2 linked regions of the Caenorhabditis elegans genome follow. The protein of the gene in region 1 interacts with the protein of each later gene in a pairwise test. Each region holds a gene or a part of one and is shown on either strand. Other genes may lie near its edges.

What was found.
Region 2: the proteins of alh-9 (region 1) and sek-1 interact in a two-hybrid assay, tested with the Caenorhabditis elegans proteins (one large-scale study listed by BioGRID).

What each region holds. Positions count from the first base shown.
Region 1 is NC_003281.10:5,855,512-5,859,798, forward strand, and holds alh-9 (Putative aldehyde dehydrogenase family 7 member A1 homolog), read left to right. Parts: upstream 1-1,697; coding exon 1,698-1,904; intron 1,905-1,953; coding exon 1,954-2,411; intron 2,412-2,459; coding exon 2,460-3,185; intron 3,186-3,233; coding exon 3,234-3,438; 3' UTR 3,439-3,668; downstream 3,669-4,287. Other genes in the region: cct-6 (T-complex protein 1 subunit zeta), read right to left, coding at 35-171; dpf-4 (Peptidase S9 prolyl oligopeptidase catalytic domain-containing protein), read left to right, coding at 4,121-4,287.
Region 2 is NC_003284.9:7,814,554-7,821,564, forward strand, and holds sek-1 (Dual specificity mitogen-activated protein kinase kinase sek-1), read left to right. Parts: upstream 1-2,180; 5' UTR 2,181-2,250; coding exon 2,251-2,263; intron 2,264-2,322; coding exon 2,323-2,413; intron 2,414-2,520; coding exon 2,521-2,653; intron 2,654-3,772; coding exon 3,773-4,156; intron 4,157-4,307; coding exon 4,308-4,558; intron 4,559-4,620; coding exon 4,621-4,732; intron 4,733-5,483; coding exon 5,484-5,510; 3' UTR 5,511-6,483; downstream 6,484-7,011. UniProt on the Caenorhabditis elegans protein: Dual specificity protein kinase which acts as an essential component of the p38 signal transduction pathway which is also composed of upstream effector nsy-1 and downstream effector pmk-1. May phosphorylate pmk-1.

The sequences.
Region 1 (4,287 bases):
GTCTCAATTATACATTTGATCAGTTTATTCTCACATCTTGAGAGTTCCCTTTGGTCCGAGGTTCGATCTCATGACGTCTTGAAGTCCACGAGCTCCACTAATATTAAGCTCGAGAGCGGCAGCATGCCTAGCTAACTCAGCTTTCGGGTTCAGGCACTGGATTGACGACATACTACCTGAAAACAAGAATTCAACTATGAAATATCTCAGTAAAACCAACAAAAACTAAAAAACGGAGAAATGAGATTGGAAAACGATTCAAGAGGAAAATAGACACGCATAAAAAGGTTCGAGAGCATATTACAATTCAAAAAGGTTCTAAAATGTATTATTACATAACTTTTTAAATAAAAAATAAAGACTTTCAACAGAAATCCTTGAAAAACAATGATTCTCGTTTGAATTTATTCTAGAAAATAAATTCGCTTCTAAAGGCGCACACAATTTCGCAACTGGGTCTCACCACGCAGAGACATTCTACGCTTTTCGGGGAGGATTTACGCGGTGTTTCAAAATTAGGTTTTTCATTATTTACATTGTTCCGCAGTAAAAATGCCCCAATACACCCTTTTCGGGAATAAGACGATGCAAACGATGCGCGGCCGCTGCCAATGCAGCATCAGTTGCTGCAAAAGCAGCTAAGAAGGTAAGCGTTTTTATTTGAAAAAAATTACCGGGAATTCAAATTCTTTGCAAGTTTTTCCAAATTGGGATTTATTTGAAATTGCTCAAAAATGTAATGCATTTTGCTTAATACACTCTACAGTGAAAATAACATTTTAAAACATTTACAATTAAGTTGACACAATAATTCCATGTTGTTAGCTTTCCCGTAGTTAAAAATTGTGCGAGAGATTGAAATTTGTGCGAATATTCGCCTTTTCAACGAAACATATACAAACTAAGTGGATCTGTGTTTTTATTTGAATTTCTGGGAATTAATTTTATCCTGAAGTTATGTATAAGCCGAATAGCTCTTTTTGTGTCGAGCAAGCGACTGCAATTTTCCACAATTTCCATTTCACAAATTTTAGTGGTCACTGCATTGTGTTCTTCTTTATCATGGTTGTCTTCATATCATCATTGATTCGGAAACTAAATATATATCAACCGGCTGCACGCCTTCTTTGCCGCGAATACGCAGAATACTACTATTCCGCAGATCACGACTGAGAAAATGATATTTATGACAAGGGAATGAGTTAATATTAATAATCAAAGAATTATTATAATTATCACGAAGTGGTTTCATATTTTTAATAGTCACGTGACTCGTCATTTCTTCGTTTTTACCTCGGACTGGCATGCCGCATTTTTTTTTTCATGAGCTATGAGCGCATTTTTTGAAAAATGTTTCTGCAATCAGATATATAAAACGTTGCCTGCCATAAAAACACAACTTGTAACCGCTGTAAATCATTAGCCTTGTATCATGTTCCACGTCATAAAATTTACAGCATTCTATAGTCTTATAGATATTGATCTGCAATCTGTCCTTGAATTCCTTGATTAACAATCAATTTCATCTCAGTTTTCGTCGTCATAAACAATCTGCCCGTGTCTCGCTCCGCCCATACATTTCATTCAATCTCCTTCGAACATTTTTCAATTCATTCTTGTTTTTTGACCACTAACCTCTTCGTTTTCTAATACCTTCTGTTTCAAAGCGTCTAACAATAATATATTTTTGTTTCCAGATGAACCGATTGTTGAGCAGTGGAATGTCTGCAGCTACCTTGCAGACCAGAATGGCGTCGCAATTGCTGATCAACGATTCAAAGTACGGATTCCTGAAAGAGCTTGGTCTCACGGAGAACAACGCCGGAGTCTTTCATGGAAAATGGGCGGCGAGTGGACAAGTTGTTCAGTCATTTGCTCCAGCAAATAACTCCCCTATTGCTAATGTAAGTTTCAAAAACATACCCTAAACGTTTTAAAACTTTCAAATTCCAGGTACAAAATGGAAACGTACAAGACTATGAAATCGCCATCTCTGAAGCTAAAAAGGCTTATAACGATTGGTGCGAGGTACCAGCACCACGACGTGGAGAAATCGTCCGTCAAATCGGAGACAAGCTCCGTACGCAGTTGCAAAACCTGGGAAAGCTCGTGTCCCTCGAGATGGGAAAAATTTCTGCCGAAGGAGTTGGAGAAGTTCAAGAATACGTCGATATTTGCGACTACGCTACTGGACTCTCTAGATCACTTGAAGGAAAAATCTTTCCTTCTGAGCGTCCAGGACACGCTCTTCTCGAACAATGGAATCCACTTGGAGTTGTTGGTGTGATTTCGGCTTTCAATTTCCCATGTGCAGTGTATGGATGGAATAACGCTTTAGCTCTTGTCACAGGAAATTCTGTTGTCTGGAAGCCAGCTCCATCCACACCATTGACAGCTATTGCTGTGACCAAGTAAGCTCGCTTATTTCATAATTGTAATCACTAAATAACTATTTTCAGACTTGTCGAGGAGGTTCTTGTTGCCAATAATGTAAATCCAGCTCTCTGTTCCCTTGTCTGTGGAGAGGGTGATGTCGGTCAAGCTCTTGTGAAGGATAAGAGAGTCAATCTAGTTTCATTCACCGGTTCATCAGAAATTGGAAAGATCGTTGGACAACAAGTTCAGGCTCGTTTCGGAAAGCTTCTACTCGAGCTCGGTGGAAACAATGCTATCATTGTTAACGAGGATGCTGATTTGAACATGGTTGTACCGGCAACAGTTTTCGCCGCCGTTGGAACTGCTGGACAGAGATGTACAACCACGAGAAGACTCATTGTTCACGATAAGGTTTACGATCAAGTTCTCGAGAGATTGAAGAAAGCTTATGCTCAATTTGAATCAAGAATCGGATGTCCATTGGATTCCAACACAATTATTGGCCCACTTCACAACCAACAGGCCGTTGGAAAGTACAAGGCTTCAGTTGCCGAAGCAGTTGCTTCTGGAGGAAAGATTGAGTACGGTGGAAAAGTTCTTGAGAGGGATGGAAACTTTGTTCTCCCAACAATTGTCACTGGATTGAAGCACGATTCTCCAGTTGTTCTTCGCGAGACTTTTGCCCCAATTCTCTATGTTCTGAAGTTCTCAACCCTCGAGGAAGCTATTGCAATCAATAATGAAGTTGATCAAGGATTGAGTTCTTCTCTATTTACAACAAATATTCAAAATGTTTTCAAATGGATGGGGTGAGATTTTCTGAAATTGTGAATTTAAAACTAACATTTAATTTTCAGACCAAAAGGAAGTGACTGTGGAATCGTCAATGTCAACATTCCCACATCTGGCGCAGAGATCGGAGGAGCCTTCGGCGGAGAAAAGGAGACCGGTGGAGGTCGCGAATCAGGATCCGACTCCTGGAGGCAGTACATGAGACGATCCACCTGCACGATCAATTACAGCAAGGAACTTCCTTTGGCTCAGGGAATTAAATTCGAATAGCTTAGTTTAGATTTTCTGTAAATATTCATTTCTCATTCAATTTGAGATGTTTTTTTTTCATGCATAATTATTCTCAGTTCCGTTCTAAAATTGCGTGTAATTCAACTCTTGTCCTCTCCTTTTGTGATTTGAATTTTTGTGCCATATCATTCCAAATGCTTAGTTTTTTTTTTAATGTTTGTTCAATAAACTTCCTTTTTTATTCATTCCACAAAATAAAGTGCAACATATTTTCAGCATATATGTCATAAAATTGACGAGACTGGTGAAAAACCGTACGCATACTTGAAAACCGATAAGCTGATTGGTTTCATCACTTTAAGTCATTTCCTAAAACTATAAATTCAATTTCACGCAGATTCTTCTCCGAATCTTCCGCTTGTTTTCTGCCCCAACGCAAGTTTTACTTTTTTTAAATACAATTATTATAATGATGGCATTTTTGTATGTTTAGGTGATGCCTGTTTTATAAATTAAGAGTTTTTTCTAAAAATGTTTTTAAACAACTTTAAACTAATCCACTTAGAAAGTCTGTCAAATTGAATTTTATTGATTGTTTTGGAAACAAACAAACCTCACAATTACAAAAACGCTTTCATTGTAAATATTGACGAATTTATCTCGAATATATTTATTTTTCTCTTAAAATAACTATTTTTACAGCATAAAAAGTGCCCGAAAAATGGCAACTGAAGCTGTCTACGGAAGTTGGGATAGTCCGATCACACCAGATCTCTTCGGAAAATGTAATTGCAAGTCTATCTGCGAGATGCAAGTTGTCGGTGGCAATGTCTACTGGATTGAACAGAATTCAGTAACTGGAAAACGAGAGCTTTACTCAAAACCAAC
Region 2 (7,011 bases), on another chromosome or scaffold:
CTCTTCAGACAGTTTATATTTTCTAAACCTTTTTGGTTTTTTATAAACATGAGCTTTTAACTTTGTTGAAGCTTGAGAAACTTTTAATTTTTCATGAAATATAACTTATTTTATGTTTCAACGTCTCGAATATCTTTCCCCTCTTTTAAATACTTTTACTTTTTTCTCGTTTTGCATATGACTCATCTACTTGCTGGAATGCAAAAAAGTATGATGAACAATTTTTAGGGTGAGGTTAGTAGAATACAAGTACTGCAGACACAATATACAATACCTTTCCACAAATGGAAGATTGTGTCTGTGTGTATGAGATGAAATAGATAGAGAGAGAAAGAGAGAAAGAGAGAGTGGCGAGTGTAGAAAGTAACATTTAACAGAAAACGGCATTGAAAGATAGAGAGAGAGAGATGCAGAGAGGCAAAGTGATAGAGAGATGGAGGAATAGTGGTGTCCTGCGTAACTTTTGTCGTCGTTTCTTATCACTTGTTTACGTGCACAGTGCCCCCCCCCCCCCCCCCCCCCCGATGATCAACATTTTTTTGTGAACAGACAACAACATTTTGAAAGGTGATTTCAACGAATTATCTTGTTGAGAGCAAACGGGTCTGAAGCATATTCGTGGCTTAGCAATCTTATCAATTAATTGGTTTTCTTCCAAAAAATTGAGTAAATTGTATAGTTCTATAAGGTTTTTGTAACTGAACACTATAACTTAAAAGAATAACTAAAAATGTACATGCGTCCCGAAATACTTACAAAAATATTTGCGAACCCACACCGTCTAAATGATTCAACAAAAAAAGTTTCGCAATATTATACTATCAGGCAATTTTTGTAAAATCTGACCATTACACATACGGGATTTCCTGAAATGTGTGGTCTTGCGAATTTCGCAACTTTTCATGACAAAAATGTGTTTGGTCACAAAAACGGTTTCTCGACACTTTTTCCGAAAAAAACGTTTGCACTTTTTCACTATTTTTAAATCTATGTTCTGCTTAATTTCATTTCCACTTTTCTCTTAAAACATTTGACAAAAACTATAAGTTCTGACTCCCAATACTTTTTTCGTCGTATTTCCCTTCCGTTAACTCACTCACTGCTCTAGTTCTCAATAACAATAAATCAAGCGCTCAGTTTTTTTCGAGTTTTTATGGGCCCTTTTTGGGGGAAATGAAGGATAAAACGATAAAAACTGCAAAAGTATACTAAAAATAGTAAATTGAAGTTTAAAAAATTTAATATTCCGAAAATTGAAAAAAAAAACCCCATGTTATATGAGTTACTTGCCGCCCACCCACGGAAATTATTTATTTCTGCGTTAGTCATGCAACTAGTAAGAAGATCCCGCGGAACCATGAGTTTTTCTTTGTGATATTTCCAAATTCAGTATCTCCAATTAAATGATTCACACTTCGTTTTCTCCCTGCTTTATAAATGACTCAGCTATTCATGGCAGCTCCATCTTGCTCCTCCTCCCCAGCTTCCATGTTGCACTTGTTCACATCACATCCCATAAAAATTCATGCACCCGCTCCAAGGTTACTATTGGTTCCCAGTGACAACACCAACAAAAACGGATTTCGGTTCTCGTTTTGGTCTGGCACCTTGATTTCAATTTGAATTTTTACGACAACACATCCCGGGCAACGGTTTTTCGCTTTGTTTTCACATTAATTTTTTCTCACTGGGATGAAAATGGGGGCCCCTCTTTTTTCCCTTTTTCTATTTTTCTGCTTCCTACTCACCAAATTGCTTCTGCTCTCTTCTCATTCTTCTATCTTTTCCTCACTTTTTTCCTATTCCTATTTTTCTTATTTCTTCTATTTTTCAACGATCTATTCCGCGTTTTTCTACAGAATTTCGTACTCTCATTCATCAAATCTGAGAACCCTCCGCCAGGAGAAAAAAAGAAGGAAAAAACGTGATTCCCAAATCTTTAATTAAAGGACCAGATTGATGGATAAGTAACGAAAGACCAACACTATCTATTTTACATTTAGATTCGAAAAAAGATTGAATGACACCTCTAAATTTTGTTCACAAAACCGCGAAACCACCATTTGTATTCTTTATTGTCATTTTTCCTCATTTTTCGCTTTGTGAAAAATTTACCCACCGTATTTTTTGCTGAAATCCGTGTCTCTTGCTCTTTCCTTATCCTCATTTAATTTTTGCAGACGATCGCTGGTCGGCGAATTCTACAATTTATGTAGATCGGTGCGGAACGTCTCTCTAGAGTCTTACATCATGGAGCGAAAAGGTAAGAAAAATCTCATTTACCTCAAATTTGCCAAAGCATCTAATTTCGACTTGTTGTAGGACGTGAGCGCAAGCTGCCGGGCATGAAGATCGTGATGCCAACACCGGTCGAGACGCCCACAATGAATCTGGAAGACAGATGTCTTATCAAGTAAGTATTAGGTGATACCCGTGTCGGGTTTGATATTGAACACGTAAAGACGGCGCGGCGAATTATGTAATAATAATATAAGTATGAGAAATTTTTGATTGATGCAGATTGACAAACGAGTCCGAAGAGATTGAGATTGCCGCCACCGACCTCGTCGTACTCGAAGAACTTGGAAAAGGTGGATATGGGATTGTGGAGAAAATGCAGCACAGGCAGAGCGGGATAATTATGGCGGTAAAAGTGAGTATCACAACAAGAACAGTTTGAAAAAATTAACTATGTACATATGTTTGGTAATTCACCAAAAGCGGTTTTTTCAAAAAAATGTTTCATTTTTTCGTAACTTTTCAAAAAGTAACTAAATTCAAATTCCTATTTGGCTGGTGCACTAATAAATAGGCAATTTGTATAAATTTAAGATATTCATAAAATACTTTTCTTTAATTAGGGAAAAACTATTCTAATTTGAATGCAACGTGTCATTTTTCACATACAATAGTTATTCAAAAGCAAATGCAAGTTAGCAAGATGAAGATTATTGAATTTAGGTGTGACTGCAAAAATAATAGTTAGTCTTCATTGCCAACGGAAAGCATTTCCATTTTTTGAAGGGCGCCGTGTGAGACGACACACTGATTGCCTTTTGGCTGTCGGCACACGCGCCCACACGTCACCTTTGAAAAGTTGGTGTATAAATTAAAATTTTCGTGAACAAAGGTAAATTATGGAAGTGAAGAAATGAGAATTTGAGGATAGGATTTCAAACGCAGGTCACTCGTTTCTGATATGATGAAAAAAATCTTTTTTTTTTTGAAAAGGAACATGAGAAATAGATTCAAAGTAGCTTGATATCAAACATTTATGGAATGTATTGAGATTTATCAATACTTACTGATTTCAAAAATTCATTTTCATCCATACACTAGAATAAGTGACTAGGTGATTGTACATCAATATGTATGTTAATAGGACATACCAACAATAAGAACAGTCTGTGACGCGGAAATTTTCCATAAAAAAGGTCACTTCATAGATTTCATATGTTGAACTTTCACTAGAACATATTGCAAATACTTCATATGTAGTTGTGGCAAAGTTCAAGATTAAAGTAAATACAACATGTAAATGGAAAACTGATCTGACCAAAAAATGTTTTCAAATCACGAATATTTAAATTCTCAATATAAAAATTAATCGAAACTACAGATTTAAATACTAAAAAAAAATTATAAATTAAATATTACTGGTTTGAACCGAGACTTAAGCAAATCGCGTATTGAAAAAAATAAAAAATGAATTTTCAAACTAAATCGAATTTATCTTTTAAATTGATCCTAAGCAAATTTCATTTTCTTACAGCGAATCAAATCATCAATCAACGATCAATCTCAAAAGCAGATGCTCAACGAGCTAGACGCGTGCAGGAGAAGTGATTGCTGTCCGCAAATGGTACGGTTCTATGGAGCAATGTTTCGCGAAGGTGATGTCTGGATTTGCATGGAAGTGATGGACACGTCGCTGGACAAATTTTACCGGCACGCATACAAAATTGGCAAACACATTCCAGAGCCGTTTATTGGGAAAATGGCTCTGTCGGTCATTGAAGGACTCAACTTTATGAAAGAGCAACTGAATTTGATTCATCGAGACGTGAAACCGTCGAACATTCTGTTAAATCGACATGGACAAGTCAAGATTTGCGATTTTGGAATTTCAGGTCACTTGACAAACAGCATGGCCAAGGTACGGAAAATCGATAAAAATGAGACCTCTATTAAAAAAATGAAATGCAATTTTATTTGCCGAATGATGTCATGCCAATCAGAGTTATCTTTCAATTTCATCATGACCGGGAAGAAAAATTTCAAAATATATATAGTGTTTCGATTTACAGACTGTACAAGCCGGATGCAAACCTTACATGCCACCAGAGAGAATTGATGGAGAGACTAAGTCAGCCTATGATGTGAGAGCTGATGTATGGAGTTTGGGTATAACAATAATTGAAATCGCCGTTGGCACCCATCCCTACGCAAATTGGAAAACCCCATTTGAACAATTGAAACAGGTTGTGAAAGAGCCGCCACCAAAATTGCCGATGGAAAGTGGTTTTAGTGTTGATTGTCAGTACTTTGTCAAGAGATGGTGAGTTTTTTGGAGTTTCTGGGTGTGGAGTTGGGAAGAGTATGAAAATTTGCAAATTGCAGTCTTGAAAAGGATTACAATGAACGTCCCAAATATCCGGAATTATTGGCGATGCCGTTTATGGAGCAGGCAAGAAATGAGAAGCAATTTAGTATGGCTCGGTTTATCAATGAGGTAAGATTTGCTGCTATCAAAAAGACAATTTTTTTGCTGAAAAATTGAGAAAAACAATCTGTAAATAAATGGGTAAAATTAAATTAAATGTTTATTAATTTCTCCATTTAAATGAAACGTGAAATTGATTTTTAATTTTTAGGCTTAAAAATTGTTGTCTAAGTATAATTGTCCTCCTAAGCCTTAAAATACAAAAGAGTTTTATTTTCTATGTCTAAAAATTCAAGTTTAGCGTTAAAATTTTTGGACGATAGCTTTTAGTGAAAATCGGTATTTTGTTACAAAACACTTTATTGTAGAAACTAAACACTTTAAAATAAATTGAAAATTGGTGAATGATGTCAATTTTGTGAAGTGTGCTTAAATTGCTTTAAGAAATAACAAAAATGCAAAATAAGTGCAATAAAAAAACAATCAAAAAGTCAGGTTATTTCTGAGAAATTTCGAAGAGTAAAAAATGTTGTCAAAAAATCAGTTCGGTACATCAGCAAAGAAAAGTATAGATCAACTTCAAAACATCACCAAAACTTAGCATGTACAGTTTGTTTCCAGCAGGACCAACTTACAGTAAAAGCACCACTGAATGTTATTTTTTATAATTTTTTGTATTTTAATCTGAAAATCGTTTTATATCTGACAATCTTGAATCTTACTAAGGTCCGATGGGCACCTTCTGACGGTTCCCTAGTTAGGTAAAAACTATGCTAGATTTGCGAAAAATTGCAAAAACTTCTGAATTCATTCATTGCAGATTCTCGACACTGTTTGGCGACGATGAGCATCGGGTGTGCCGAATGGCGAACAAGTCTTTTTCTAGTACGACACGTCTCAAATTGAGAATAGCGTTTTTTTGTACGCCTCGCTGGCCGTCAATGGAACATCGATATTTGTTGAATAATCAGCAACGTGGACGGAATAAATTATCACTTCTTTTCCCTTTTTGTCAAATATTGAATTTTATGTTCTTATGTTTTGTTTATATCATATATCTCTCAGATTCCAATTATTTCTTTGCTTCTGGTAACCGTTTCTTTCCGAGTCAACCGCTTATCCTTATTTCATTTTCAATTTTATAGGAAATCTTTCTCTATCGCTTCTTTTTTCGTGTCTTCTCCTCGTAGTTATAATCAATCATCGGTGTTTTTCTACATTTTTTTTACGTTTAAATGTTCAAGTAGTTTATTAGCATCTGTGATTTTTATTTTCAAATGGTAGCTCATAATTTTCCAATCAAACTCGAAATGACCTAGTTGTTTTCTTAAATGATTTTAGTAGTCATTCCTATCTCATCTCATCAGACTTCTCATTTCAATTGTTTAACTTCTTCCTCTGCATATACAGTGCCATTTTCGATGTCAAATTCGTATTCAACATGGATTATTCTACTCTAGAAATCAAAAATGTATTCTATTGCACCCCTCCTCCCGCATTTGTTTCATCTGTGGGTTAATAATGATATTTATAAATTGATGTGCTGTTACAAAAACGAAAACAATCAACATCACTTATCCTTCTTTCTATTTTTCTTCTTCTCTGGTCTTATGCGCTTATTCTCCTTATAACAGTTCTTGCCCAGAAAATCAGCGTACACGTTTCATTTTCTTTTCTGTTCGTTTTCTCCCCTAACTCAGACATTACAAATTTCTAAACGTTTTGTTTTCAATTACACCAACCATCCCCCACTTTTCTCCCTCACCCCATATCAAGGATATGAGTCTCTTTTGGTTTATATTGCTCGAGTAAAGATTTTTTTTTAATTCAGATAACGGTTAAATATCGTGAATTGATGTTGCAATGTCTTCCTGTTTCAGAGCTATGTAAAAACTGACGCCAGTGATAAAATAATGTGGCAACCAGAGGAAGGAAAAATATAAGAATGTGAAAAAGCAAGTTTAGTTCAAATTTTTCAATAGTAAATCACACTACGACTTGATTGGGATAGTTGGTTTTGGTTGCTTTTCAAGATATTTATAAAAACGTTTTTTAAATTTTCCAATATATAAATAGAGAACGAGTGAATATCATTTTCCTTGTTTGAATTGCCATAATTGATAAATTGAAAATATCTGGAAAATAATATAAACAAAAAAGACCAAGAAATATAAATGTTTTGTTTCATTAAGGCACATCATGTACGGACTTCTATTTTACTATTATTTCTATCGTTTTCACCGGAGTTTGCTAAAGTTGCAAAATTCTTAAAAACAACTGATGCTTGTTTCAGAATTGCAACCGACACAACCGACAGCAAAGTTGCCAAAGCTTTCCCAATCATCAAG